4 linked regions of the Tamandua tetradactyla genome follow. The protein of the gene in region 4 interacts with the protein of the main gene of each other region in a pairwise test. Links are inferred from orthologs where the notes say so. Each region holds a gene or a part of one and is shown on either strand. Other genes may lie near its edges.

Evidence for each region.
Region 1: the proteins of PSTPIP1 (region 4) and CD2 interact in a two-hybrid assay, tested with the Homo sapiens proteins (2 studies listed by BioGRID and IntAct). The link is inferred for Tamandua tetradactyla from reciprocal best matches to the Homo sapiens genes PSTPIP1 and CD2.
Region 2: the proteins of PSTPIP1 (region 4) and PTPN12 interact in binary tests that used the Homo sapiens proteins (3 or more experiments, as listed by UniProt). The link is inferred for Tamandua tetradactyla from reciprocal best matches to the Homo sapiens genes PSTPIP1 and PTPN12.
Region 3: the proteins of PSTPIP1 (region 4) and TULP3 interact in binary tests that used the Homo sapiens proteins (3 or more experiments, as listed by UniProt). The two-hybrid records come from large-scale screens. The link is inferred for Tamandua tetradactyla from reciprocal best matches to the Homo sapiens genes PSTPIP1 and TULP3.

What each region holds. Positions count from the first base shown.
Region 1 is NC_135337.1:4,206,761-4,213,718, reverse strand, and holds the start of CD2 (T-cell surface antigen CD2), read left to right. Parts: upstream 1-3,952; 5' UTR 3,953-4,092; coding exon 4,093-4,153; intron 4,154-4,296; coding exon 4,297-4,587; intron 4,588-6,958. UniProt on the Homo sapiens protein: CD2 interacts with lymphocyte function-associated antigen CD58 (LFA-3) and CD48/BCM1 to mediate adhesion between T-cells and other cell types. CD2 is implicated in the triggering of T-cells, the cytoplasmic domain is implicated in the signaling function.
Region 2 is NC_135327.1:140,471,617-140,479,237, reverse strand, and holds the start of PTPN12 (tyrosine-protein phosphatase non-receptor type 12), read left to right. Parts: upstream 1-4,613; 5' UTR 4,614-4,662; coding exon 4,663-4,761; intron 4,762-5,151; exon of another isoform or gene 5,152-5,283; intron 5,284-7,621. UniProt on the Homo sapiens protein: Dephosphorylates a range of proteins, and thereby regulates cellular signaling cascades. Dephosphorylates cellular tyrosine kinases, such as ERBB2 and PTK2B/PYK2, and thereby regulates signaling via ERBB2 and PTK2B/PYK2.
Region 3 is NC_135333.1:65,027,669-65,034,805, forward strand, and holds the start of TULP3 (tubby-related protein 3), read left to right. Parts: upstream 1-4,135; 5' UTR 4,136-4,212; coding exon 4,213-4,253; intron 4,254-7,137. Other genes in the region: RHNO1 (RAD9, HUS1, RAD1-interacting nuclear orphan protein 1), read left to right, coding at 424-591, 1,660-2,211. UniProt on the Homo sapiens protein: Negative regulator of the Shh signaling transduction pathway: recruited to primary cilia via association with the IFT complex A (IFT-A) and is required for recruitment of G protein-coupled receptor GPR161 to cilia, a promoter of PKA-dependent basal repression machinery in Shh signaling.
Region 4 is NC_135340.1:89,855,738-89,863,746, reverse strand, and holds the start of PSTPIP1 (proline-serine-threonine phosphatase-interacting protein 1), read left to right. Parts: upstream 1-5,007; 5' UTR 5,008-5,164; coding exon 5,165-5,200; intron 5,201-5,593; coding exon of another isoform or gene 5,594-5,750; intron 5,751-5,908; coding exon of another isoform or gene 5,909-6,243; exon of another isoform or gene 6,244-6,276; intron 6,277-8,009. Other genes in the region: uncharacterized protein LOC143656381, read right to left, coding at 606-809, 1,471-1,628, 2,340-2,482, 2,660-2,718, 5,594-5,750, 5,909-6,243. UniProt on the Homo sapiens protein: Involved in regulation of the actin cytoskeleton. May regulate WAS actin-bundling activity. Bridges the interaction between ABL1 and PTPN18 leading to ABL1 dephosphorylation.

The sequences.
Region 1 (6,958 bases), on a different chromosome or scaffold from region 4:
ACAGGGTCCCCAGGGAAGCATGGAGAGGCAATCCGATCCCTTCCTGAGGGTCTTTCTGCTCTAAAAGCTCCTGATTCAGGACATTCGATTGGGTAAGAACTACAGAAAACGGGTCTTGTGGCCACAGTGCTGAGCGAGGGACCTGGTTCTCAGTTAGTACTTTAGGGTGACACGCAGGGAGGCAGACAGGAGTTGGGGGTCACGATTTTGCTACTGAGGGGACAGGAAGCTGCCCCGAAGCAAGACCTCTAAGAACCTGCCCTTCTTCCCTCTTCTGCTGCTTAATCTCGTCCCTTTACTCTGTTTCACCGGGAGTGTTAGTTTGGGTAAGAAAAATGGTTCAAGATGCTAAGTGAAGACACGCCCCTTCAGTTGCAGTGAGGGTGGTAAGGGAGGATGAGTCTTGGACCAGATTTTTCCCGGAAATCACACACACTAAATCAGGGACTGCACCCTCCCTCAGTGCTTGGGGGACCCACTTAGAATTTAAAAGGCATTAAAAAGCGACACATGTTCAATTGAAAAATATAACAATATCAACAACAAAACAGTAACCATTATCCATCCCTCAGGGATCAATGCCTGGAGGAAATCCTTCCAACAGACACACACACACACTTGTTAAGGAAAAAAAAAAGTGACTTTACTGTTTTTTGGTTTTTTTCTTTGTAACCTGTTTTTTTTACATCCCAGTTTGTCCATATGGTGAGTTACTCACCCAATTTCCTTCTATTGACTATTTAAGCTGACAATTTTTGACATACAAAAAATGCTGCGGTGTATAAACTTATAACCAAGTCTTAGGATGTCTCCATCATTATTTCCTTAGGATTAAATCATAGTTGTGGATTTGTTAGGACAAAATTTAAATAAAATGTTTTTGATGCTTCTGATTCAGACTGACAAGTTGGCAGCCAGAAACTGCGTCCCTATTTGCATTTCTCCTGACCGTATTTAAGAATGCCCTTTTCCCCGCAATCATCAGCACTGTCTGTATATTTTCATTTGTAAGTTATGAAAGATGAAAAATGTATGACATCTATGTTTAAATTTACATTTCTTCGATTATTAATAAATTGAGTATGTTTTCATAGATTTATACTTCTATTGTCTTTCTTTTTTTGTGAATGTTCCTTTCATGATCTTCACCACATCAAGTTATCGTCTTTTCTTTCTACGTTCATAACAGAATTTTAATTTGAAGGATATGAACCTTTATCACATATCCCACAAATAAATTTGTCCCTGTTAGTACTTTATCTCTTAATCTTTTTTATGACTTTCTTTTAATTAATGAAGTTGTAGGTTTACAAACAAACATGCATAAAATACAGCGTTCTCATATAGCACACTATTATTAACACTTGTATTAGTGTGGTACATTTGTTGTAATTCATGAAAGAACATTTTAACAATTGTACATTAAACATAGTCCAAAGCCTCATTGGTTATACACGGCTCATTGCTTGTGTTTATAGTTCTATGTTTGTTTTTTAATTTTTATTCTAATAATATATATGCAACCTACCATTTCCCTCCTTTTAATCACGTTCAAATACATAATTCAGCGCTGTTAATTGCATTCATAATTTTGTGCTATCTTCACTACAGTCCATTACCAAAGCTTTACAATCGACCCAAATAGAAACTCTGTACAGTTTAAGCATTAATTTTTTTACAAACAGGTTTGCAATTTTATGTAATCAGACTTATATCAATCCTTTTCTTATTCATGGTTTCTCCTCTCCAAGCCACGTACCTCATGCTGTTTTGAGTTAGATATGAGAGGGACAGAATGAATATTTCTAAAAGAAGAACTGAAAGCTGTTTTCCACTTATTCCATGAGAGCTAAGAAAATGAGTATGACTGCTGAATTATTATATCGACATTTTTTTTTTTAGTCTCCAGTATCTTGGAGTAGCTAGAAGGGAAATTGTGAAATTATAGAATTATATCCCATACCAAACTCTGAAATCTGTTTTATAATTACATGTTACAATGTACTTTGAAATTCATGGCTTTTTTGTATGTATGTTATATTTCACAATTTAAAAAAAATGTGTTCAAACGTCACAGAAGTTGATAACTTTATGTATTATCATGTAATTTATCAAAGGTATCATTCCATGTCTTAATTTTGTTCTTCTTCATTCTATTTGAACTGTTATAGAATATTTCATAAACTGAATATACCATAATTTAATTGTTTGCAAATTTTTGTTACTCAAAAATGCTACAACAAGCATCCTTGAACGAAACTTTTGCATGTTACACAAACATTTGTATAGGACAGATTTCTTGAACTAAAATTACTGGGTAATTTTAAATATATAATTACTGGGTAATTTAAAAATATATATATTTTAAAGTTTAGTGAAAATTGTCAAATTCTGACCCCTCCCTGGAGATAATGATTTACACTCACTCCAATATTGTATGAAGGTGCTTGTTTTGCCCCATATTTTTGTCCATAATGTAAATGATCTTCTCAGTTTGCCTATCTGATGGTTAAAAAAATGGTATTTTGTACTATTAGACACATAAATATAGGTGAGGTTAAACTTCTTGTATGTTTATTAACTATTTATATTTCTTCTATAAATTGTTCATTCAAGTCCTTTGCCCATTTTAAAAACCAGGTTCTTTTTCTTACTGATTGATAAGGAACTATTTCTATATCTTAGGTAATAATTTTTCACATAGACAGAAAATATTTTCTGTCATGTCTTTTCATTTTGTTTACTATATTTTTGGCTTACATACACTTTGAATTTTCATGTCTGTATTTATTAATTCTAGAAAGTTAATTTTTTATAGAAAGACCTTCCATATGCAAAGAAATGAAAATGGATTTCTATATTTCTTTTGCACTCTTATAGTTTTTTTGTTTTCTTAACATTTAAAACTTTAATCCAACTGTTTTTCTGTGGGTGATTTGACAGTTAGGAATTTTCACATAACCGTGAGGTAAGTATTTCAGTTAGGCTTCCCTTTACCCAATGGTAGAGATCCTTTCCTTCGACTTAATTTCATTTCCTGGACTTTTTCAGAGATAATATCCATAGTTTACCTGAAATTGACAAAAAAAAAAGCACAACTTTTAAGATTTTACTCACTGTATCCTAAAGAATTATAAAACTGGATATTAACTTTGGAAATGTGTCGTTTTTACTTTGGAAATCTGTCATTGATGTCCCATGACTGGGGTATCTGTGAATCTTTCGCCGGGAGCATCCATCTCTGTCTCACTGTTTCTCTTTTTTGTATTACAAATTTCCTTTCTCTCTCTCTCTCTCTCCCAGTTCCCTTTCACTTGTTTTTCTCTCTCCATATCCATCCCTTTCTCTTAACCATCTAAAATGTTAATTGTCGTAAACGTTTTTAAATCATTAGTTCGGGTTGTTTAATAGTATTTCATAGTTTTTATGCTTCTTTGGTTGTTTTGGAACAAGTTTTTGTTTACTTAACTGTGGAAATTACAATAGAGTTGTAAAATGTATAGTGCAACATAAGATTTGGGGACTCCAAGCATTTATAGCTGAGAATCAAGTCATATTTGTTTCCTTTTTTAAATCACAAAAACAATTTTAGAACACTCCAACATCGTAGGATACTCGCTTGTATTCTGCTAGTCACTGACAAACATTTACTCATATTTAAATGACAACACAGTAAAGTGGATAGAGGACGGGCTGGATGGGAGAATGTGATCCCTCCTTTACTAAAGGCTGCTCCTGGGTGATTTATTAGCCTCTCGGTTCCTCTTTTCTTCAGTGGGGATAATGAAACCCACCCAAGATTTTTGTGAAGCTCCCAACATGATTAGAAAACACATATTCACGAACACACCTGCTTTAGCAAAGGAGAGCGTCAGACACATTATTTTGCTGATTCTGTTTGTGTGCGCGCGCCTGCGTGCGTGTATGTGTGTGTGTGTGTGTGTGTGTGTGTTTGTTCTACACTCCTGTAAAAGGACCTAAAAAAAGCGGGGCACATGGTTAAGCTCTCAGGGCGTGGGTTCCACCAGTCCTGCTTCAATTCTTTTTTTGCAAGAAGAGCTTAGAATCACAACAAGGAAACTAACCCCAAAGATGAACCTCTCATGTGAAATTTTCGCCAGCTTCCTTCTGATTTTCCATGTTTCTGCCAAAGGTAAGTTACTGTGTGGGTGTCTATCGTCACAGCTAAAAGCCTCTTTGGAGACCCTGTGGCGTGTGCAAGAGTTGAAGAGACCACAGCCCAACCTGTGTTGGCAGTGGATCTTCAGATCTCAGGAACTTTCTTGCTTTTCACAGGTGCAGTCCCTAAAGAGGTCTGGGGTGCCCTCGGCCGTGAGTTCTACTTGAACATTCCTGATTCTCTAGTAAATCAGCCGACGGGTGATATACAGTGGAAAATTGGAAATACCAGGATTGCACGATTCACGAAAAGTAAAATAACTAGCACGTACCCGTACGAGGTGTTCCCGAATGGAACTCTGAAAATTAAAAATCTGATGAGAAATTACAGCAATACCTACATAGTAAATGTATATCATGAGAATGGAAAACATGTGCTGGAAAAAGCATTCACGTTGAAGACTCTGGGTAAGTCTTTGCTTTTTAAATTCCTCCATTTCAGCAAGGGTCCCGTTTAGCAAGTTGGTTAATAATGTTTATGGAATGTCCCCAGCACTTCCCTTGGCCTCCTGGGGAGCTGTAAGGGAAATCTAAAGTACGTCTCCTGTCCCAGTGGGGACCACAGGCTGGTGGGAGAGATGGAATCCACCCATGTGGAAATAAACAGTTGATGGGCCTTCAAGTTCAGCCGCCTAAAACTCTCCGGTGCCTACGGGGATGCAGGACTGGTTCAAGAACATGGATTAAGGTGGCGTTAATCAGAAGGAAGCGAACAAGTGAACAGAGAAAAAGGTGGCCGTCCCAGGTGCATGATGAGCCAAGCAGTTAGGGGTGCGGGGAAGGGAAGGAGCGGCTCGGTAGAGAGCGGCAAATTTTCAGATAGAAAATTTCAAGCCAGGTGCCCTAAAAGGAGTCGTTCTATGGCAGGAAAGGGCTGGAAACAATGACTTTGAGGAGGCAGGTCCTTGTTGCTGTCCTCCCAGCATCAAAGTGGTTGAAGGTGGACAGAGATTTTTGCTGATGCGTGTTAAAAAAGAATACACAGGGTGTGCCTTTGTATGTCTGCGTTTTGGGAGGGCAGGAGTGGTCACTGAAGATGAGGGAGGAAGACCAGCCAGGAAGGTGCTGCTATAATCCAAGTGAAATGAGGAGGGGCTGGCTAGTGCTTCTTAACCATGTCCTTTAGAATCAGCTGGGATGCCGTTAAAAGTTTTCGGCACCCAGGCCCAACCACAGTCTGGTAAAATCAGAATTTCTCAATGTGCAGCTTGGGCGCATTTCTAAAATGTCCCCGAGGGATTCTCATAAGCAATCGAGGTTGTCAACCACTGGCTTAGACTTTACTTTTTGGGTGCCTGTAAAAGGAGGAAGAATGAGCCTACTGAGGGTCGGGAATGGAAAAAGGATGGACAAGATGCTTTGCAGGATAAACTGAGGAATGAGAAAGAGGAATTGAAATGATAACAAGGCTGAAAGTCCAAGGGACACTGGGTAGGGAGCAGTAAGGGGAAATGAGAAGATGACCCGACACTTGGCTTGGAGAGGAAGGCAGGAATCCAGCCCCAGCAAAGACTGTGATTCAGTGAGCAAACAAACAGCTCTGTACTTCACACAGGAAATGCCACCCAAGGCAGGGGCCCTTCCTCTTCTCTGGGGTAACACTTTCAGGCCAGGGCTCAGCCTGGGGACTTAACAGCAGCCCCACTCCGACAATCCCAGAGATTGTTGGGACCCAAGCAAAGGGCAACTTTTGAAACCCTAGTCCTGCCCCCTCGAATGGAAATATAATCTAGAAATGGTGTAGGGCTGAGAATGGAGCCAGAAGGGGCTCCTGTTTAGGACTCTGGGAGCCACAGATCCTACACCTCCAGCCAGCATGAGCTCAAGGGCCCTGTTAAATCAACCAGAGCCATGCTGGTGCTGTCCAATTCATGCCTCATTTCATATCAGAGTGACCACAATGGCTACCAGTAGTTGATGCCACTAGATGTCAGGGGCTTCATGTACATCATCTTATTTAAAGCTCAACAACAACCCTAAGACATAGTTATTATCCCTTATTACCTATAAAGAAGCAGAGACTCAGACAGAAGCAACTTGCCCAAGGTCTCATAAAGACCAAAGAACGAAGCCAGGATTCAAACCCAGGGCCCCTGTTGGCAGGGATGGTTATTTCTAACTTTATTTATTTATATAATTGTATGGCTCGAATTCACACGCCATACAATTCACCCATTTAAAGTGTACAATCCAGTGGTTTCTCGTATGCTCACACAGTTGTGAGAACATCACCACGATCAATTTTAGAATAGTTTCATTACCCCCAAAAGAAACCTCATACCCTTTGGCGGAAGAGGAGTGACTCTCCCATGACGTAATGAGCACCTTGCTGTTTGCTGGGGGTGCATGAAGATCCCTCAATATCTTAACTCGGTATGGGGTCCTGTCGCCAATACTTGCTCATGGGCTTGAGCGGAATTCTTGATCTGCTCTGAATGTGGTTTAAAAAAAAAAATACTGCAAAAGACATTAAGGGATTTAATGAGACAACGTATGTAAATGTGCTTTGCCATGCGTGGGGCACGAGACGTGTCTGCTCCACGAGAGTGCCCTCCCCCATCTCTTTGTTTCTCCATGCCTCTTGTGGCTTTAGTCACAGACCCCAGCTTCCCTGCCCCTCTCTAATGGGCTTCATAGTTTCTTGCTGAAGAGGTCTTGGAGGGCACCTTACAGGTAAATGGTATGCTCAGCCATGGGAAGGTCTTAATAAAGTGCTCCCCTTTGACCCATCCATGCCTCTTCTAGGGAGCCCCCTTACAGGGAGGCTATGAACAAAGAC
Region 2 (7,621 bases), on a different chromosome or scaffold from region 4:
TGGTCCAGATCATCTTGCTGTACCAGGCCATAGCGTCGTAGCAAGTCTATATGGATTGGTTAACTTGGGCCAAGGGTCCAAATTGGCAGCTGTGGCTAAAGACAGGCAGGGTGATCAATTTTCCTGAGAAGAATGTTGTGGCCTAGGTAGACTATTCTGAAACTTAGCTTATCATATGCCATTTTAAAAACCTCTCAAACAAGATCTCTTTTTCCCTTTATTTGCCTATTTCCATGAATGATATTGCCATTCTCCCCATCACATGAACTGAAATTGTAATAATATTTTAATTAAACAGATTTAATTTTGTTGGAAAAATAATTCATGCACATAGTAAAATATTCAGAACATAAAAGGGTATACACACTGGTAATTGTCTCCATTCTTCCAAAGAGCCCCAAGGCCCCCCAGGGGCAACCACAGTTAACAGGTTTTTTAAAGTATCCTTCAGAAAAATTTTATGTCATGTTCAAGCATTTTAATCCACACTTTAATTTTACATAAATGGAAGAATACCATAAAACTATCTGTGCCTTGCTTTTCTCATATAACAAGTAGCTCTTGGGCCCTAATCCATATCAATATATGTAGATCTACTACAGTTTTTCTTTTTAACGGCATCACAAAACTTCATTGTATATATGTGATTTTTATCCAGTGCTTTTTCGATAGGAATGTTATTTCCAGTTTTGCCCTTACAAATAAGGCTGCAATAAGTACCTATGTTTGCACACACCTGATCTATAGGGTAAATTCTGATGAGAAATTTTGAGGTCAAAGCATGAATTAATAATTTTGATACATTTATTTCCAAGATGCCCTCCAAAGGTGTTGTGACAATTATTCTCATCTTCTGTGATGAGCATGCCCATTTTCTCCAACTTTCAAAAGTTTCGTGTTCTGCCAAACACTGTGATCTCTGCCAATTTGGTAATTTCAGTAACTTTAAATTTGATCTACTTTCTCTTAGTTACCTGGTTTTGTGAATGCTTCCAAAATGTCTCTCCTCTTCATCTGCCTTTGTATTTGTACTACTACAACTTTAGTTTCACTTTTGCTGCTTCATGTATTGACTCCTGATAGCTCATTCTATACTTTTCCATTATTAATTCCCAATTTAACAATAAATGATGCCAAATTAATATTTTACTAACTTGCATAATTTTACTTATATCCTTAGAAACCTTTGGTGGCTCCTAATGCCTACAGAGTTAAGTCCAAATCCCTTAACCAGGCATTCAATGCTTTTCAGAGTCCAGTCCATCTACTTTGGAACCTCTGTCCCCACACAAAAGTTCTGCTTCAAAATTTTGCTTTGCTGTCTTCATGCTTTTTGCCCCATCACTGCCCTTATTTGGACTTTTTCCTCCCTGGTCAAGCCTAATTTCACTTATCCTTCATGGTTAATCCTTCATCGTTAAACTCTTGGTTACTTTAAGTCATTCTCTGACAACCTAGTCCACAGTTCTCTCTCCTCAGACTTCTTGCTGCTCTCATGGTCTGTAGCATTCATTTGACATTTATTAACCTAGAGTAACCAAGAGTTTATTGTCTTTTCTATCATCTGAATTAAGATATTAACTCCTTAGGAGAAGGAGCCATCCCTAAAACATTTTTTGTCTCCCACATACACAGTATAATTCTTCCCATATTGAGGTGCTCAAAAAAAATACCTGTCTGTTAAAACAAGTCCTAAGTATATTAAACAGGAGAATAAACTAGCTAGATACCAAAGAAGTACACTGCTAATTCTTTCAAAAAAAGTAGAAATCCAAGAAGGTACTTCACATTTGTTTTCCCTAATCTACAGCAGATGGCAAAAGTGTCTGCTGAGAATTCACGAAACACTCAGGTGTTACTAGAGAGAGAAACTTTCCAATAAGAGGAAAATAAAAACAAAGGAAAAAAAATTAAGAAAAAACTCTAGTCAACGGACATTGGGAACTTCTCCTGGAGCTCGTGTGCTGTATTTGCTAAACAAGGATCACTGATGTTGTCTCCAATGCATCCAACAATGAGCTATCCACACCAAGACTCTGGTGAAGTATTGCATTGTGCTACTGACAGCACACTGTTAAGGTAGTGATATATGAGTCCCTCTATGCACTAACCCTGGGCTACAAAAAGGGGCCAAGCTGTCTTTTGAGGGGGAAGTGAGTTTAAACAAAAAGTGATCAAAGAAAATTCAGAAGAAATATGATGAAAGGAAAAAGATCAGCAGTGTTCTGTAGGGGCACTTCCAGCTGAAGAAGCCTCTTGCATGCACTGCTTCCAGGCCAGGCTGGTGTGGTGGAGCAGATGGCTTTGTGCTGGAAAGCAAGGAGCTGGAGTTCTATTTGAGGAAAATCAAAGTCTGGAAAGGCAAATAAATTCTCCTCTCTCCCATCCTACCTTATGTAATAAAGGTGTTTATTGTTCTTAAAACAACAACAAAAAAACTAGCCAAAATAGGACTCATGACCTCTGACAAGCAACACTTCTCATCAGACTGTCACTAGACTGATAAACAACTTCTTCAGCATAACTAGTCCTTTATCTATCTGGTTTGTACAGTCTTTGACATATCAAAAGTGGAGGCACGCTTGCTGATCTGCCTGCTTTTTTGTCATTTCTCTCTAAGTTCTGGGGGGGAGAAAAGAGAGTATCTACACTGAGTTATAATGTAAGATGATCAAGCTAGATCCTGACCTTTACCCACACCTGTGAAATCGAGTCTCAGTAATTGGTTGAAATAAAACACTCCAGATCCTTGTTTCAAATAATATCTACCTTAGAAATTAAACTACTTCTGTAAGTGATTTTTTTTTTTTTGGGGGGGGTGCATACTTCAGGAATCGAACCCGGGTCCCTCGCATGGAAGGTAGGCATTCTAACCACTAAAATACCCGTGCACCCTAAGTGAATTTTTAAAATACAAAACTATATCTTTTTTACATGCATATAAATGCATGAGAAGAGATTTGGAAGAGCACACAACTTCTAAGTGCATACTTCTGGGGAGGGGTTGCATTAGTTGATTTTTTTTTTAAAGATAAAAATTTTTCTTTAACAAAAGGAAACTGTATCTTATTACTCTCACTTATCTTCTTCAAAGAGTTTCTCATTAAATTCCATGATGCCTCTAAACATTCATTTGGGAAAAATGACCTGCCACTGTTATTTCTTATTTAACCCAATTTTCTGAGTAATCCGATCTGTAAAGAATGTTGTTTGAGGGTTTAAATGACCAAAATACGTCCACGGATCTAATCCTTCACTTTTGTCACATTATCACAAGTTCGCATTGCTTAGAGGCAATATGGTATCGTAATGAAAGCAAAAGGACTTGAGTTCTAGTGTTATAGCTCTGGTAAGAACATGCTGGAGGCCCCTTAGTAAATCACTTTATTTGGTGAGTTAGACCAGAATGGATAACCTCTGGTTACTAGAATTTTAAAGACGTACAAAGACTTATAAAGTCTATTCTATGGAGAAAGTCTCTCATGCAGTTCTAAAATGCTGTCAATTTAAAAAGACGACAGGTTCCTTTAAACTTAGTAAACAGTGAGCCCCTACGACATGCATGGTATACATTAGGACGCATTACGATTCTCAGGCGCTCACTTGCCAGAGCTTAGGTGGATTTGTGAAGAGAAAATCCTTTCAATCAAGAAGCGTTTCGCTTCTCTTAGCCGTAAGAATCCTCCAAAGTCTTAGGTTGTTAAGGCCTTATAACAGTGAAGGCAACATACCTGCTGTGAACGTGGAAATGGCATTACTACAGTTCCCAGCATGCCTCTTTCCACCCCCGCCCCTGGAAGCCAGCAGGCCCGGACTTAAAACGGTGGCGGAGCCAGCGTCGAAGCATTCTTGTAGTAATCTGCTTCCCCCCGCCCTCTGCCCTGAGTAAGCGGTGAGATCGCAAGCTCTAATTAACATCATACTCCAACCCATGAGACTTAGTCCTAAGAAGAGTTCCCTCCTATAGGGTAACCAACACTCTTTTAAGGTTTTCTCAGACCTGGGCGCTACCGGGACGGGGCCACGCCCCGGAAGTGGAGTCGGGTCGCTCACCAGATCGCCGAAGTTCCTTCCAGCCACTCCAAGCCGAGCCGCGGCGCTGGGCGGGCCTGGGGGCGTGGCCTTGGAGGTGGGGCGAGCGGGGGCGTAGCAGCGCGGCGCGGCGCTTGGGGCGGAGCCGCGGTGCGGGGCCGCGCGTTTGGGTGGCGGCGGGGGCGCGCCGTGGGGTAGAGTCGGCTGTCGCTGCTAGTGGTAGTGGTAGTGGTGGTGGTGGTGGTGCGGGGGGAGGAGAAACTGGGGACGGGGGGAGTAGGGCGAGCGCAGAGCGGTGTTCCTGAGGCGGTGGCGGCGTCTCCGGAGGAGGAGGAGGGCGGGGAAGGAGGATGGAGCAAGCTGGGGGCTGGGGCTGGCGCTAGCCGCAGCACCTCGGCTCGTTACTGTGGGAAAGCGGCGACTGCTCCTGGAAGTTGTGTCGGGAGCCCGGCCGGGTGCCGCCGCTGCGTCCCCTAGGGCGGTGGGGAGGAGGAGCGGCGGGGATTGGCGGGGGTCGGGAGGGAGGAGACGCGCAGCGGGAGCGAGCTGGGGAAGACGGAGCGGGCTCTGCGCCGGGCGGGCGGGCGGCGGCGGGGGGGCCAGCGACCGCAGCCAGGGGGACGCGGGAGGATGGAGCAAGTGGAGATCCTGAGGAAATTCATCCAGAGGGTCCAGGCCATGAAGAGTCCGGACCACAATGGGGAGGACAACTTCGCCCGGGACTTCATGGTGAGTCTCTCACCTCGCTGTCGGCTCCTCTCGAGGCCACTGAAGCCCACCGCAGCCTCGCCGGGCCGGCCCGAGCCGCCAGCGCTTTGTGTGCTGCTGTGAGGAGAGGGGCAGAGGGGGCGCGCACCAACCCCAGGGGCCGTCTTGGCCGGGAGCCCGGCGGGAGGTGATACTGCCTCCGCCCCTAGGTCTCCTTTCCCCCTCTCCCGCGTTCGCGGCCCCTTCCGCGGGCTTCTGAGGCGCGAAGGGAGCGGCCGCTGGGCCGAGTCCTAACCCGGCACCGTTTCCTGCGACCACCTATTGTTTCTCGGGCCTGGAGCCGGAGGCGAGTGAGGTGCTGACCGAGAGGACTTGCCTTTCCACACCTCCCCACCTAGCCTGCCCTTCCCAGGAGGGTCGAGGCAGAGTGTCGGGCTGTGTCCGGGGTGGGGAACCGATCCGGCTGATGGAGGTACCAGATTGTTGAGGTCGGCGTTAACTCGTGGGGTCATTTTGCCCAAGCAAGTCTCAGAGGTGGGCAAGGTAGGACTTCTGCCTTGTCTGGGTTCGCAGTTAATGTCCAACGCTTGCAAAAAGGTTTTCCATAAGGAAATCGGGGTTCTTATAATTTTCCATTTATCCCGGTCCCATCTCTCCTCTCCTGAGACCCAAGTTTGAGGTGGTCTTAGGATCCGTTTGACTTTAGGTTGGGGGGGGGGAGTGTGTGCGTGTGTGTGGGGGTATCCTGAAGGAAGCCTACTTCGGACACCCTAGGGGATATTGCCAAAGGCGGAGGGGATGTGACTATCACTTCCTATCCGGGGTGGGGGTGGGGAGCTTGGGAACAATAGTTCTGGCGGGGCGGAGGCGACTATCTGGGCTGAAGCCCTGAACTGGGAGATAACCTTCTCAGCCCCCCGCCCCTTTCCGCCTGCTGCTCCTGCGGGCGGGCTTATGAGGTGAGGGTTAAAGTCTTGTTCGTGAACTTGCTCTACGATACTTCGCTGTGAGGGGAGGCAGATCCGAAGGCGTGGGACCAGAAGTCGACTTCCTATACTACATCCCCCCACCCTCCACCTTTTATTTTTCTGCTGGACAATGTTCCCTCTAGGGTTGTTTCCCGGTTTTGGAGGCGGTGGTTGTGGCTATTGCTCCTACGGATATTGCGCAAGACTGGGGCGTTGGAAACCCTGGAGGTCTGGGGATGGAAAAGGAAGTGGGACTTTGGGAAGTGGTTGCTTCTTAGCCTTGGCGGGGGTTGGGGATGGGAAATAAGCCGGGGAAAATTTAGCCTCTGGATGAGGTACACCTCCGAGAATAATCCTTTAACTCCGAAATTCGATTATAAAAAAGATACGGAGCTCAGGTGTAGAAAAATGAATGGGCAGCTGACATTGGCTGGTTTTTGTTTCAAAGTACAGTTGTTTTCAAGGTGCAGGTGAAGTGACATTTAGTACTGAAATACTTTATAACATTTTAAAAAGACTTTAGTCTAGAAGCTTTAGCGTTAAAATTGTTCAATTTATAAAATAGATCCTTGACCTTACATAGTATTATAATATTGTTGAGCTTTGTGATTCCTACTTCTCCAGGTAAGTAGTAGAGGACAGGAATAAGGTTTTGTTAGTATCTTTTGAAGACTGAAAGACAGAAATTAAATAATTTGATTATGTGTTATTTGAGACATTTTCTCTTGCTATGTAACCTAAATATTTTTGAAATATTACTTTTGATCTGAAGGGGGTAAAGAAAGGAGTATTTTCTCCCCTAACTCATGAGAATTTTTATTTGTTGATATATTTCAGGTGTCATTTTCAGTAATTGGTTGGTGTTCCCTTTTTATTATTCTCTAGCAAAAATAGAAGAAAATATTTACTTGGAATATTTAAAACATTGTAAACTTAAGTCTTGGAAGACTAGATGGTATAGACCTTGACTGGCCACTTGTTTGCATTCTAGCCATATTGTTTTCCCTGGATGCTCTATCCTGTCAGAAAAGAGCATTGTTTGGTTTGATGATGCAGGCCAGGACAGGTGTGCAGACTGTGAGCTACTGTACAGGGGACTTAGCCTTAGGATTCGTGCTTTAGGGATGAATCAGGAATTCTTATTGGAGATTTCATTCCTTGAGGATTAAATAAGTTTCCTTTTTATTCCATAATACCTAGAAATAGCTAGGTGATTCTGCATTTGAGATTTGATAACTGAGGCTATTCTTACACAGTGTTGTGTGTGTGTGTGTGTGTGTGTGTGTGTGTTGGGGGGGAATTACCTGACTTATAGTTTAAGCAATAAGCTATAATTAAGGCTGTACATAGTGCCATTTTTTCCTTTGACTAAAAAGCTGGAGAAAGACATCTCCCTACCTCTGTCCCTTTGTCATGGAAACAGAATAGAGGGTAGGGCTCATATTCTGTGGTGTTATTCTAAATTCTAATGCAAATCAGAAATTGTTTTTAAATTTACTTTGAATATTGAAAACATCTTAAACTGAAGTCTTATTATGGTTATGGAAGAATAAATGCTATAGACCTTTAGCATTTTAGAACTGAAAGAGGTCATAGAGGTTATCTAGCTATTACAACCCCGTTCCATTATAATATTGCTTATTATTTCAGATTTACAAATTATAGAATAACAATTAGTTATGTCTTATGCTTAGAAAAGTAGCATACCAGCTCTGTCTGACTACCCAGTCTTTCTATAGTCTACCCGACTACCTCTGATAATGTTTTTAGTGCTTCCATGTGTCAATACTACATATACCATTATATGTTATTCATTACCTAATATTTTGGTAAATTTTTTTATTAATGCAACTGCTTTGTAAAAATTTTAAATGGAGTATAATATTTCATCTGATGATTTATTATACCACAAC
Region 3 (7,137 bases), on a different chromosome or scaffold from region 4:
CCTCTCAGCAGCCTCTCAGCTCCTTGAAAACAGGGATCTCTATATTGCTCTACAAGTGTTTGGTAGTCAAATGCGTCTTGAATAAATGGCTCCCAACACCCTGTATGGTACTTAACATGTGTTCAATAAATGTTTATTAACATGTGCTTAATAAATTTTTATTGAATTAATGTTGTTGAATATGAATCATTGTATTTTTGCTTGCTGTTATAGGTGTAGGAAGCTTGGTCCCTATGACTTTGAGGTGGTAGTTTTTGTTGCAATAGGTTGCCTGGGTATCAGGAAGAGCTACAGAATTATCTGGATTATTTTCTCCCAGCTTTTGTTTCTTCTCTACAGGCATGGGTTGGAATTGGAGCCTGTCACCCCACCTGATTGCAACCAGCATCATGTGGTTGCCAACTGTTCTGCATTCATCTGTTGATGCCGCCCAGAAAAAAACGCCGCCAACGATCCCAGAAAGCTCCACTGCTATTCCAGCAACAACCACTGGAGGGCCCCAAACACCACTCTGGATCCCCACAGCTTCCCATCACCCATACTAAACGGGTGCCCAGCAAGCCTATTGATCACAGCACCATCACTTCCTGGGTAGGTTCATAGGATTCTTATTTTGACTTTTACTCCAGTAGGTGTCTCAGAATGCTAACCATTGAACAAGGACCTCCAAAGAATAAGATTTTTGGGGTGCAAAAGACAAAGAAGCATTGTATTCTTTCTGTTTTCAGCCATCTCTTCTTTTTTTCTCGTTTTAAACTGAGACATGGGTTGGTTAGAATTGTTGCCTTTCCCCCTACATTCCTCTAAAGGAGTTCAGTGTAAAGCTTTCACCACCCAATAGCCAGAAAAATGACAAGAATATTGTTCCCTGAGTTTCATATGAGAAGTGGAGTACTCAGGTATTCTCTTTACTGTTTAATGGATTGAACTTTGAAAAACAAAATGCACAGAAATTGGATATGTGATAATTTAACTATTTAAAAGCTCTGGAATAAGGGATTAGCTACTATATGGCATGGAAATAGTATAACAAAAGGGCTAGACAAAAGCATAAGCTCTGTTTAGTTAAGAGTGACTAATAAATAAAACTTGGCCAGGACTGCTTGGAAGAACTGTAATACTCACTTGAGGATTGTGGAAGAAACTTAAATTTTAGAGTTCTGTGGACGAAAATAAGAGTGAATATTTATTGACTACTTACTATGTGCCAGACCCTATGCTGATTGTTTTACATACATGATCTCAGTTCCTCATTCATGCATTCAGCCATTTATTATTTCCTGAGCGAGGCACTCTACTAGGTTCTGGGGACTGTGATGTGAACAAGACTGCTGTTGGTCCCTCCTCTCATGAAATATAAAGATACTTTAAAAGTTGCAGCCATATTGTGTGAAGTCAAAGAGACATTGTTCCTTTCTTAAGTATAAGGAAATAGCCAGAGATTGATTTTTTTTTTTTTTTTTTTTTACCATAGCTCATATCCCTTTCTGTTACTATGCCACTAGACAACTGTTATTTTTCTATTTCTATTACCAAAGTCGGCCCCCGTATAGGATTCTGGTCACTGGATGTCAGTTCCTGGTTATGGTTTGTACTTTCAAGTTTGTACTTGGCAGTTGGTTCTCTTCACTTCTTTCTCTTTTTTTTTTTAATCCTTAGATATTGCCTGAGTTTGACATGACAGCAGAAAGTTGGTATCCAGTCAACCAGAAATGTCATCACCAAGACCAGGCAAGACATTCAAGTCGCAAATCTGCCGCCTCCAAGTTTCCACAACTAATCTTTGAGAGTCCACAGTCTTCTTCCAGTTCAGTGACACTGGAGATCCCCTTAAGCAAGAAGGGCCCTAGTCAACTGGCAAAGGACATTTCTGGAAGGCCCTTAGTTCCAATGCTCAGCCCCCAAAGTAGTAGGGAACTGTCAGTGCATGCACTTCAAAGTCCAGGTTATGTGTTCATTCCACCTGATATCCAGACCCCAGAGTCATCTGTGAAAAAACCCATTCACCCAGATCAGAGGAAGAACAGCCTTCCAAGCTGCTCCCTTCACTCTAGTACTCCCAAGAATGAAGGGCCTGGACCTGCTCTAGTTAAAGACACTCCTGAAGAGAAGTATGGCATAAAGGTCACTTGGAGGAGACGGAAACACCTATTTGCTTACCTCAGGGACAGAGGGAAGCTGAGCAGAAGCCAGTTCCTTGTGAAAAACTGACTTATCAGATAACAGCCTCTTTATTAAGAAACACAAGAAATTGCTGATTTTCATAGAGTTGCTAAAGTAACTTTTCTGACTCACAGGAAGAGTACATCAATAGAATAAAATGGAAATAACACCAAATTAAAAAACAACTTTAACTGGAGCCCTGTAACCAAAAGGAAATTAAACTCCCTGATTAGCTTTTTAAAATACCTTGTTTCATAAACAGTTGGATTTAGTGCCATAAACAGTTTACTTCATATTTTTCTTATATTAACTGTTTAATTAATTTTAAAATGGCTTTTAACTTTAAAATGTATGTAAATAAATGGTTGCAGAAAGTTTTCAGAGAACTGTGCTGCTCATTGTCAGTAATGCAGCAATAGTGCCCCACTCACAAAAGGTCTTTCTTATTTCCTTTAGCCACTGCTCATTAATCCGTTATCTCTTTTAGACCAATTCATTCCACATTTTGAGAACCAACTCTGTGCCACGCTCAGTGGCAACTTCCTTTATGACTGGATGGGCAGAAAAAAATCAAAGGAAACGCATGACTTTTTTATAGTTGAGCTGCCGTCTCAGCACCCTGGCTCATCTGCTGAAAGAGCAAGAATAGGACAAGTTCTATTTTCATAAATACAGTGGGACCAGGGTAGATACAGACATAGACAAGTTACTTAGGCTTGCTTAGGTTTTGACATTTTTTTTCCCCCACCAAAGAAATCTGTAAACATTAGGTAGGATGGGAAAATGATTTCTTGTAGCTGTTTAAAATGTATGAAAATAAAGTGCAAAGTTTTCAGACATGATTACTTCTTGTTGTAACTAATGCAGAAGGGCTGCCCAGTCAAGAAAATGTCTCAATTGTCCTTTTACCCATACAAATAATGTCATTCAACCCTATTCACTCAGTATTTATTAAGAATCTCGTCTGTGTCAGATCCAGCCCAGCTTATTATTCTGCTTATTTTATAGAGGGGGATTTGAAGCACAGATCATGAACCATGTTCAGGTTCACTGGATGAGTGGAGACTGACCCAAAGTGTTCAATGCTCTGCTCTCCTAGCTTATGTCAAGTTCTATGTCTCTTAAAAAAATCAACTTCTGGATTCAAAATTAATGTGGAAATAACTTTGACTTTGGAATGCAATAAACTAGTCAGTGTGCAACAATAGTGGTGGTAAGAAAGGAATTGATGGTTGAGGACAAGATTTATTGGAAACAATGCTATCGTTTTAGATAGTGGATCCCATTATGGGACATGGATGTTTGAAGATGGTCTATAGATTGGAGAGAAAGGTGGATGGAAAAGTTTCTGGATTCTCTTGTGCTTTAGGAGAGTGTATAGCAGGTCTAGGAATGAGCTAAAAGCTTAGGCTGGAGTGGGAGAAGCTGAAGTTTTGGGCAGATGTGAGAAGCAGGTGAAAAGTGTGAGGCCAGGAAACTAAAGGAAAGATGGATTTAATTGGCGGATATCAGCTGAGGAGGGTACTTGCGTGTTTGAGAAGAAGGCCTTCGTTTTCGTGGAAGGAAAAAGATTGTGAGAGGGTCAGCTGGTCTGTAAGTCCTTACATTACAGATCTCTGGCAGCGCCATGGGTGGTCTTTGGGAGTACCGGGAAGCCACTCTGGGTGGTGGCTAGTGGGGGTTGGGCGGCTCCTCAAAGGGACTCGCATCTCCGTCGCGGGAAACCAACGGCGCAGTGGCAAAAACATCCTTCAGCACGCAGCCCTTCCCGGCGCAGCGCTCCAGGGGACCAGGCCCTTGCGCGTCATCCCCGCTCCGGCGCAGGCGCCTTTAACTCTCTAGTTCTTCCCTCCTCTTAGAAACCCTCTCGCATCCCGGTGGCGGCAATAGCCAATGAGAGAGGAACGGTAGGCACATGGACCAATGGGCGGTGGTGACAGTGCAGGGTGTGGTTGCCAGGGGGCGGGGCCCGGCTGCCTGCCAGTCTTGCCAGCCTAGCAGCGGCGTCTACGAGTCTGGATGTGATTGCCACTTACTTAGCAGCGGGTGATGGAGGCGTCGCGCTATGGACGTGGACCCAGTGGGGATAGGTAAGAGATGGATTGTGGCTAGTCCCTTCGCGAGCGAGGCGGGGAGACGAAGTGAGAAAGTGGATGTCCTGTCCGGGATGTCTGAGGGGAGAAGGCGGTGGGCTCCTCTCTGGGAAGCGATCTCTCTCCCTACTCCCTGGGACAGGACCCCTTTTAAAGTGAGCAGAAGAGCGCGGCGACTCGGCAGCTTTGCCCATCAGCAGAGGCTCCTCCCCGCCTTGGGAAACTCTTGGAGTTTTCGTTCCGAGCTCTCATTGCTCTGGAGGGCCTCAGTTTCCCCTTATTTAAAATGTATTAGCCCTGCTCTTCACGCACTGCCTGGTAGTTTAATAACTGAGATTGGATACATCCTCTGCTTTCCGAGGATGTCGAAGCAGAAGGTTGTGAGTAATACTGGATACTTTGCACTAATGCTGAAGCTTTTGCTAGGCAGTGCTGAATTCTGGAACAGTTGTTCCAGGGCTGAAAATACAAAACTCGTTTTCTTCTGTCTGCTTTCTAGCAGTTATCTCTTACTCGGGATTTTCTGTCTTTTTATAAACGTACCATACCCGTTGTTTGTGCCCCTCTTTCTTTCTCTTTCGTAACTTCGGCCTCCGCCAGAGGGAGAGCCTGGAAAATAAAACGATCTGAAATCTCAGCCTGCCAATTTCTTGTTAGCCAGATTAATGAAAAGTTAATGGGGATCGGTGTGAAATCATTAGCTTAAAACTTGACATTGTCTGAGGATTTAAATCATACACACACCATCTGCTTTTTAAAAAATTATTATTCCATTACTACTGCGAATAAAGATTTGGCACGTAAAGATTCAGGCTGCTTTATTATTTTTTTCGTTTTTATTTGTTTATTTATTTAGTCTGTTTTTTACTAGAATAAATTTAAACAATTCTAAACCATTTTTAAAAATTGTCACTAGAGAGGTGTTGGGGTAGAGAACACTCCTTCCTCCTTCATCAGGTTCTATTTATGTGATAGTGGCACTCTCAAAATGTGTTTACAACACTTTTTTTTTCCAAGTGGAGAGAAAAATAATCCACACTTACAAGTATAAATATGGGAATGCTAGGATGAGGTAAAGGTAATATTCAGCTTCTGTGGTTGAGTTCAGATGGTACTTGTTTAATTGTGGACACTCAATAAATCTTAGTTGAGTTTTAAAGCTATAAATTTCATAGTTATCAGATGTTTGATATGACTCACAATTTTTGGGAAAAAAGTAATTAACTTTGAAATTGGCATCTGGAGGCAAATGGCTATAATTTATTGGAACTGAAGTTTGAGATTTAAATGAAGATAAACATTTCTTTTCTTTTTTTTCTTCCCCAAAACACAAGCTCTTTAATTTTAAAAATTGAAATAAAAAAAGAAAAATAAATTAAAGAAAATTGACATCAAAGGGGAGTGTGTGAGTCACCAAATATTTCTCTTGCGGTAGGTAATGTTAGTGCAGCTTTTCAGTTTAACTTCTTTGTTGCTAAGAGGGAGTGAAGTTTATCTCTTGCTGTGTTAGTTTCAAGTTGTGTCTTTAAAGTTTTTGATGAAATACATTGATAGAGTCTTTGATATTAATGTACCTGAGAAGTTAGGATTTAGGGGATAAGTATTTGATTACTGAATCGTTATATAGACATTGCTTTTTTTCTTTCTGGTTTATTTGAGTAGACAGAGGGAGATACCTGAAATCTCTGAACTGTAATCCATCTGCCTTGATCTCTGATAATGAGCCTATATATAGCCTTTATCTTATGCCCTTGTGATTGTAAAAACTTTGTGGCTGACCCTCACTTGTACTCATTTTATCCGGTTTTTTGACTCTAAAATCTTGTGATCACTAACCCTCACGTTTATTATTGAAGGGTCTTGGGTCAGCCCAGAATGCATGCACCCCAAATCTAAAGTTATCTTGATAACCGAAGCTGGCTCTGACCTAAATGGGCCTGCCTGAATGCATAGTAGCTTGTATTTTAACTTGTAAATCACCTGTACCTCATTGTAATATTAAAATTCATGCCCATCATTATATTAAGGCCACAATTTTCTTACATATGTTCTTTCACTAAACGTGTAATGAGTCTGCACATTGTCCTGAAACCTGCCTATCTTTTCATACTATAAAACTGTCAGAATTACTGCAGTTCAGGGAGACAGATTTGGGGTGGATAGGTCATCTGATCTCCTGCGTCGTACCTAGCAACATTTTTTTTCTCTCTTTGAAACCCGTGTCTTAGGAATTGTCTATTGAACGCATACGGCAGAGAGTGTACCACCTTTGTTTAGTAACATTAATACCTTTCGATGTGAAGATGATATCTGCCTTTCAAATTTCCTGTGATTTTTTTCTTCTTTGACTTATGTGACTGTTTTAACATAAGACAGATTTATTTTCAACAAAGTAGAAATATTAACAGTAAACTTTAAATGTTTTTCTTGTATCTCAAATGTTTAGTGAAAATTGGAGATAGAATTTGAAGTAGCACTCTGAGGACCTTTGTTGAAGCTGGGCATTTGTATTATAGAATTTCTGGAGAGGATAGGGATTGGCTAGGGAGAGAACTTTTTTTTTTCAGGGAGTATTATTTTATTAAATCATGCACATTATGTGTGTTAGGGAAGTTGGTTTAATCTGTATTAGAGATTAAACTAACTTGAGCTCTATCTGGCCTTTGTGATAAATAATTTGTGATACAGAATTGAAGGTATGGTGAGAGACTTCCCAGTGTGATCTTGTGATCCAGACTTGGGTCGGAAAATCCTGCTCTGTGGTTTAAACAATACATCAGGATTTCTCTTTACAAATATGAAAAGCAGTAGTGGCCTGAAGTTATGTCCTGGTTAGTCTTATTATCTGCTCCCATGCCTTTTTTTTTTTTTTTTTTTTAGT
Region 4 (8,009 bases):
ACCCGCGGCCCCCACGGCGGGGGAGGGTACTCCAGGGCACGACTGCTTCCTGGTGTCGCACACAGGAGCTGAGTCTCCACCCCCCCGCACCGCCCGCTCCCCCCAGCCCGGCCCTCGCTGCCTCACTTCCCCTCAGCCGGGCACCTCCTTTCCTTCCCCTTCCTCCTCATCTGGCATCTGCCCCAGCCCTGCCCCAGCCCGCCACCCCCAGCCCTAAACTGGGGGAAGAGAAGATCCCCCTTAGTGGTGGGTGGGACTCCATCAAGTTGACTAACCTATTAGAGCCTCAGTCTCTTCATCTGTTGAATGAGGACCATAAGACACAGGGATAGGAGCATTAGGTGAAACATAAGGCAAGTAAAGTGCTTATGAAGAGGCTGGCATGTCCCCAGTAGTGACTAGTCCCCAGATTTACTACTGACGTTCTGGAAATTCCTTCTTTATTTCCATGTCTCCAGACAGAGAGGCTCAGCAGGGGCTGGTGGAATTGCATCGCGCAGGGGCTTGTTGGGTGGGGTTGAGGCTGGGAGCTGCAGCTCAGCGGACACATGCCTCTGGCCACCTAGGGGGACCCTACAGGCTTCTCCCCCGGGAACAGTGGACCACTATGGTGAGATACGGGAACTTTCCAGCTCAGCCATGGTGGGGCAGGCAACCTGAGGGCCGCGGGCAGTGTCGTGGCGGTGTCGGCTCACAGCTCTAGCCAGGATCCACTGACCGGTCCAGGGCTGCTCCTTCAGGGCAGATTCTTCCCCCGAGGAAGGAGCCAAGAGTGCCCAGTGTCGCGTGTCGCGTGTCGCCTGGCCTGTCTGCAGAACAGAAGGTATTAGCCAGATGGGACTCGAGCAAAGAGAGGAACAAAACAAACGCCTCTTAGATCAGTGGCGATGCTGCTCCCAAGTGAAACTCATGGCAGGGACTCCTGGCTCCTCAGAGGCCACCACGGGGCTATCAGATGCTCCTTCTCTTCAGCCTCTTTGCCTCCTCAGAAGGGCGCCAACCTTTTCTAGATTACAAATTAGAAACCCAGTTCTGCTCTCCTGTCTGACATCGGCTTCATCCCTGAGACCAGTTTCTCTTGAAAACATCTCCAGCCACTGAGGACTCCGCTAAATTTCCTTCAAGTTGGCATTTATTTGCTTTCAGGCTTTTCTGCACTTTGTCGTCTCTCCACCCATCCATCTGTTGATCGGCACAATCATTCATTCTGTTATCCACTCATGCATCTGTCCGTCCACCCATCCGTCCTTCCATCCATCATCCATCCACCTGTCCGCCCACCCATCCATCCATCCATCCATCATCACCCATTCAACACTACAATATTCTGAACCGTGGAATGCATGAAGTGCCTCACATCAAAAGGAAGTAAGGAGAGTGACACCCCCTGTGGGCCAGGTTCTGAGCTGGGGAATTACAGGCAGCATCTCACAGGGCCCTCACATCAGCCCCGCAGGTGAGGAGAAATACCTCCCATTTTACAGCTGAAAAGCTGAGAGCCAAACCCATGGTCCCACTGTGGACACATGCCCAGTCTACCAGGCAGGAAGTCATCGGTGGAGAAGGAGGGCTGCTTCTACGTGAGAAGTTACCGTGTGGAGGAGAGGCCCTTAGAGCAGGATAAGAGGCTGTGGAAGAAAGGAAAGTTGTACATTTTAGTACCTGTAATGGCATTTCTCTCCCTTCTTTTTGAATTAAGTCCCCACACTGGCCTTCTGAAACTTGTCCTGGCAGTGAGCAATCAATGAGAACAAGCACGGAAAGGCATATCCCTAAATAGCGGCTAGAATTACAAGTTTTTAGTTATGCAGCTGGAGATGGTGGATTGCAGCTGAGCCCAGCGGCTGACTGTGGTGTTTAATGTTGCAATAATTGGTTTTGTATTTTATTCTGTAATCTTCAACCTACTGCTTTTTAAATTCTTCAAGCAGATGGATTTAAATAACATGCAAAAGAGGATGGGCCTCTGCCTGCTTGGGGAACTCCCCCCACCGCCATCCCACCCCGTAAAAAAAAGTGGGCTCACAAGCCTGGACTTGAGGCACAACTGCCCAGACCTCAAGGCAAATTTTGCTTGAAGCAGCTGCAACAGTTGCTAAAAAGTAGTACTTTTCAGGAGCTGACTGTCCCCACCCTGACCCCAGGGGGCTGGGGGGCTGGATTGAGGGTAGGGCAGCTGGTAAGGGTAGGGGCAAAGAACAGCTCCCGTTTCCAAGGGGCATGCAGCCGCCTCCTTTCTGCTACCCCCACCCCCACCCCAGCTGCCCCGTCCAGGCCTAGTCCCTCTCTGAGAGCTATCACAACCCCCTCCTCTGCCTGTCTCTCCAAGCCACTCCCACCTGAAGAGATCTTTCTAGAACCTGTCGGCTGGTCCGTGGGCCCCTCGGGGTGGAGACTGGATTGGCCTCTCTGCTCCCCAGTCCTGGCAGGGCCTGATCTGGGGTGCTGCCCGGGTCTGTGGGCCTCGGTGGAAAGAAGCCACCTGTGGTAGGCAGATAGATGGCCAGTGCCCATAGCACCCCAACGAGGGCTCACATCCCTGCGGCCAGTGGTGGCAGAGCATGAGCATGTGGCCCACTTCCGGCCAACGAGAGACAAGGGGAGGTCTTCTGGGAGCTTGGAGAAAATGAGACATAAGGGCAGATGCCCCTTTTCTTACTCAAGACATGCCTGGTCTGGAGTTGGAGCCCAGAGCAGTTGTAGCATCTTGGGGACCAGCTGAAAAGGGAGACATAAGGGGGAGAATGGCCAAGAGACTGAGCTGCATTCCTGAGAACACCCCCAGGGGGCGTCCTGCCGCCGGAGCCCTCGGGGGAGGGGGACGGTACAATTCCTCAGTGCCAGGAACCTCACCCCACAGTGAACTTGGAAGACCAGGTGCCAAGGCTGGGCTCTCATCCCCTTAGCACCACCAACCCCCAACAGCCTCCCTGGGCTAGGTTTTCCATCCGTCAGGTGGGGTGACAGGTTCTGGGCACAGCCCTAGAGAAAGGAAGGACAAAACCGTTTGCTAACAGAGACCTGTTGGTGTGAGATAACTGGAGGTGACAGTCCTGGGTTTGGCGGCTGTGAGGCTGAGTCATATAAACTCTGATCACTGGTTTCCTTGGCTGCGAAATGGGGAATAAGAATAGAGAGCGGCCTGCAGGCTTGGGTGAGGAGTGAATGAGGCAGGCCCTGTAAAAAGCTCATTGGTGCACTGCACACACCATCAGGGCTCCAAAGCAGTTGCTGCCTGTTCTGGTTGCCAGCTGCAAAAGGGCAGGGTGGAGGGACCTCTCTCTGCAGAGAACTTTAAAATCTTTCCACTTGTTCCTCCTATCACATCCTCCCCCAGTTGCTCCAGTCCACTGCCAGCAAGCACCCATCGGGGTGGAGCAGAGTCAAAGGGCTCCGGTGCATTGAGGGATGGGAGGGTTTGCCCAGGTAAGGAAGATTGAGGATGGCAGGCCAGAAGGGAGGGCACGATGGAGCAAAGTGTGCGGGTGGGAGAGCAAAGGGTGCCCTTGCGGAGAGAGAGGAGGCCTGAGGGGAGCTGGAGTTTGTGGGAGGCAGTAGGGGCAGGGGAAGGAGGCTGGCTGCAAAGTTTTCTGCCAATAAGAGAGTGGAGGGCTCTCTATGAACAGAGGGTTTCCGGACTACTTTTGGAATTAGAGGTATCATCCCATTTGATGGATGGGGAAACTGAGCCCAGGGAGACTGGGTCAGTGCTAAGAGGGCAATGGTGCATTGGGGCGAGACTCACAGCCTCTGCTGTAGCCTCTGGGGCTCAAGGTGAGGTTTACAATCTTAGCTGTCTCACTGCAAACAACAGAAAACCCCACTGGAGGGTCCTCAGTGCTGAAGCTGATCAGCAGCTCACCCGGCCAGGGGTGTGGAAGGAGGACGTGTCCCAGGTCGGCAGAGCAGCTCCAGCCCCACTGCCCGGCGACTCTTCCCCCCTGCCCGTGCCATGCGTTCTCTCTGGGACATACCCCTGCCCTCCAAAGCCCGGGCCTATGTACCTGGTACTTGGGAGCTTCGCCAAGTCCCCCAGAGCAGTTTCCTCTGTCTTATCATCTGCCTGAGGATTCGTGGAGAACCCCTGACCCATGCCCTCTGCCACTGCCGGGGCTCCGGCCTCCCTGCGGGCATCTCCTGCTGGGTGGGCGGGTGCCGGGTCCTTGGGGCTGAGCCTGGGCTCCAGACCAGGGCTCCTCCCAACACCATACCTGACTCTGCCCCCAGCACCTGCCCCACCATTCCAGAAAATTCCACAAATGCTCTCCAAACTCTGTCCTTTCCAAAGACTGGGGGTGACAGATGAGGAAACTGAGGCCGGGGAATCAGAGAGTGGATGAAGGTCCCTTAGCACTGAAGGGTAGAGCCCAGACAAAACAAACAGGACCGCCACCTGTTTTCAAACTCCCACCCCTGTGTCTTTCTAGTTCTCTCTCTCTGTCTCCTCTCTCTAGACTCCATCTTCAGAAGGGTCTCCATGCCAGGAGAGGGTCTAATCTGCAGACATGGGTGGGTGTGGGGGGGGGGTGGTGAGCAGTCTCATAAGGTCTCAGGCTAGACGCTGCTCACCCCATCTGCTCCCACGTCTGCCCCCCTCCCCGCCCCTCTGGCCCAGCTGGGTCTGTGTCTGGACTATGAGCTCCTTGAGGCCAGGGCTTGGCCGGAGCAGCAGGGTTTGATGACCGATGGCCGGCCTAGGCCCGGGGCGCCCTCCTGAGCGGTGCGCTGGCGACGGCTGGGGAGTCTAGCGTGGCAGGTGGCGGCGGGATGGGCGCGGGGTTGCAGAGCACCGCGCTTCCTGTGGGTGGGGGCCCGGGGGCCCGCCCGGGGGAGGTTGCACAAACCCTCCGGCGCGGCCTCAGCTGCCTGCCCGCCTGGCCCGCGCGCCGCCTCCCCCCGGGGGTGCGCCCGCTCCCCGCCCGGGTCTGCCCCGCGCTGGGTCGCCGCGGATCGCTCGGGGGCGGGGTGCGCCCCGGGACCGCCCTCCCCGCGATGGGCTCCTTCCTCATTTGGCTGCTGATCGTGGCCCGCAGCGAGCAGGTGGCGCCCCTTTCCTCCCTGCAGCACCTCGCCTCGGAGCCGCTGCAGAGCGCGCGGGCTGGGAGGGCTCCGGGGCCGGCACTGGGACAGGGGCGCGGGCACCCCCACCCCGCCGCCAGCCGGGATGACGCCCCAGCTGCAGTTCAGAGACGCCTTTTGGGTGAGTGAAGGCGCCGCGGGCGCGCGCAGGTGGAGACCGCCCGGGGCGCGGGGCGGGGGTCAGGGGGAGGACCCCAGCCCCACCCCCACCCCACCGAAATTTCCCGTGGATGTGGCTTCCGCCGCGGAGCTTTTTCTCATTAAAAAAAAAAAAGCAGGGGCCACCACTTTGTGGTTCTCGTTGTCGTGGCTGTGCCCCGGGTCACCGCCCCGTCTGTGAACGTGGAAGACCCTCTCCACGCCGGCAGGACCTTTTCTAGGAGAGTCTAATGCAGGGGTGCAGGGCTTGAGGGGCGAAGGGGGGATCACAGCTTTGGGGACCGGACAAAAACTTGGGGTCAGATTTTGTCTGTGCAAGACGTCTTTAGAGGTCCCAGAGCCCCGGCTTCCCTACCTGTGCAGAGGCCTGGGAGGAGGGAACGGGGCGATTCTGTGCAATGAAGGCCCAGCCCCCGCTGGCACAACAAGCGGTCCCCGCACGCAGAGCCTCTTCCCTTCGAGGCTTTCGGGCTCCGAGGAGCAGGGGGCTGGGCCCTTCATTGCTCACTTTCCTAAATTCAGCGCAGGCATCAAACAAGTCCTGGCGCCACGGGATTGCGGCACCTGGCCCGCTCCGGCAGGTGACACGGATCACCTGGCCAGCCGGCCCGGGCCGCCCCGCCCCCCGCCCCCCACCCGGCCCCTTCGCTGTTCTGCAGCCGCCGCTCACCCTTCCCCCGGGCCCTGCTGCTCCGCCGTCCTCGGAGGCTCCCGGGGCGGGGGAAGCTGGGGCCTCTGTGGTTTGAGCCGGGAATGTGACTGTCCCAGGAGAGCTCCAGCCCGCCCCTCACAGGGCTCGCTGGCCCTCCCCGGGCCCTTCCCTGGGGCCAGCTGCCAGGAGGGACGGAGCCAGCGGGCCTGGCTGCCTCCCCTTCCGGGCCACGCTGTGCTTAGCGCCCCAGGCTGAGTGAATAGCCTGCTGTCTGCCGGCGCTGGCCGCAGGGCGGGCAGAGGGCCCAGCCCGGGGAGGCCGCCCCGCCTCTCTCTGGACCTCCGTTTACCCATCTCTACAAAGAGGGGGTGGAGCCAGCTCAGAGAAGCTGGTGAAGGCAGCTCTGGCTTCCAAACCCCAGGGTGCTCCCTGCCCAGCTGGCAGCTAAGGGGTGGAGGGACAGGGGGTTCCGGGGACCAGGAAATGAGTCACCATATCGCTGCCCTGGCCCCAGAGTGCAAGGTTGGGGAGAAAAAGGGCCTGGAAATGCAGCAGACCCAGACTGTTCTCTCTAGGAAATCTATCCCAGCCCAGAGTCCCTGAGCCCACCTTCCCTGCGGCAGAACTGGGGCAAGGAGCTGCCCCCAGGGTAGGCTGTGAGCATGGGGAGGGGGGAAGGGGATGTCAGGGAGCAGGGTGTGGCAGCAGCAGCCCCAGCAGCAGCAAGAAATGGGCCCTGGAGGCAGCTTCCTGTGTGGCATCCTGCTTGAGCCCCCCCCTCCCCCGCCAGAGGCTGTGAGCCTCCAGGGGCCTCCTCTCCTCCATGCCGGACTCCCTGGGCCTGGGGTGAGGGTGCCGCCTCCCTAGGGAAGGCCAGAGCAGGGAGGGGGAAAAGAAGAGGCTGGGGGTGGGGGGGGGTACCTCCCATTCCAAGCCTGGGCGCAACCTCAGAAGTCACTGTCAGCACCACCTGCCCCCAAGTTCTGAATTCTAGCACCTCTCCATGATGTTAAGCCTGGCCTGGGATCTGGGATAACAGTAGCATTTCCTGAGCACTATTAATGTGTGAGCTGCTGTTCTCAGGGCTGTGTAGACTTTAACTCAGTCCTCCCAGCACCTGATGGAGTAGCTGCTATTGTTATCCTCATCACTCAGAGGAGGATGTTGAGGCTGAGAGAACCAAAGTCTCTTGTCCCACAGCTAGGATCGGACCCCGCCAGGCTGGCAGTGGTGCTGGGCTCTCAGCTCCCAGACTACCCTCCACCTGGAGATCCTTGGGCCTCAGCACCCACATCCACAAGATGGGGGATAGATTCTCTCTTTCCTTCCTCCCAGAGGGGTAGGAGGGCCCGTCTAGGTGCTTGGAGCATTTACATTTCAGTTGCAATGCAGTGTTTCTGTGGAGTGGGTTAGGGGCAGAGCCCAGCCTGCGGTGCCCCCCAGCCTGAGGCAATGCCATCTCATCCTGCAGCCCGGCAGAGCACTGCTTGACAATCACTAGGCTTTAAATAATGGAAGGAAACCCCTGAAGGAGCGTGTCTCATTCCACAGCACTTCATTTACCACGTGCTTCTGGCCCGAACACAGGGTGAAATTGGGCAAGGAGGAAAGCAAATGTGGTTTCTGAGTCGCCAAACCTGCTGTCCCTAACAGTTTGCATCACCGCTTACTCGTAGAAGCCCCCGGCTTTTGGTCGGGGCCTGTGAACTCTGATTTTCCTTGCAGTTCCAACAAGCTTGGTCGCATAGTCTTTAACCCGCTAAGGCAGCATTCAGGAGGGAGTCTGCACAATATCTGATATGTAGCTGGTGATCATAAATGTTGGGGGACCTGAGCTTCTAGAGGCAATTTCACTAATGACTTATAGTCTGATAGCCAGAAAGGAGATGGAAAAATTGTGAAAAGCAGACATAATGGTTCAGAAGTGGTGGGGCCGTTCAGTGTGGGGGTTCTGTCCCTTAGGAGGCCTGTATTGGAATTTTGTCCGTGCGGCCACACAGTGTTTATCTATAGCCAGCTTTTATCTGCAGCAGGTCAGCGTGGGAGTGAGGTGGAGTGGACTCGAAGCAGGGGGAGGAAAGGAATAATTTGATCTCTGTTATACACAGACAAGTGATAA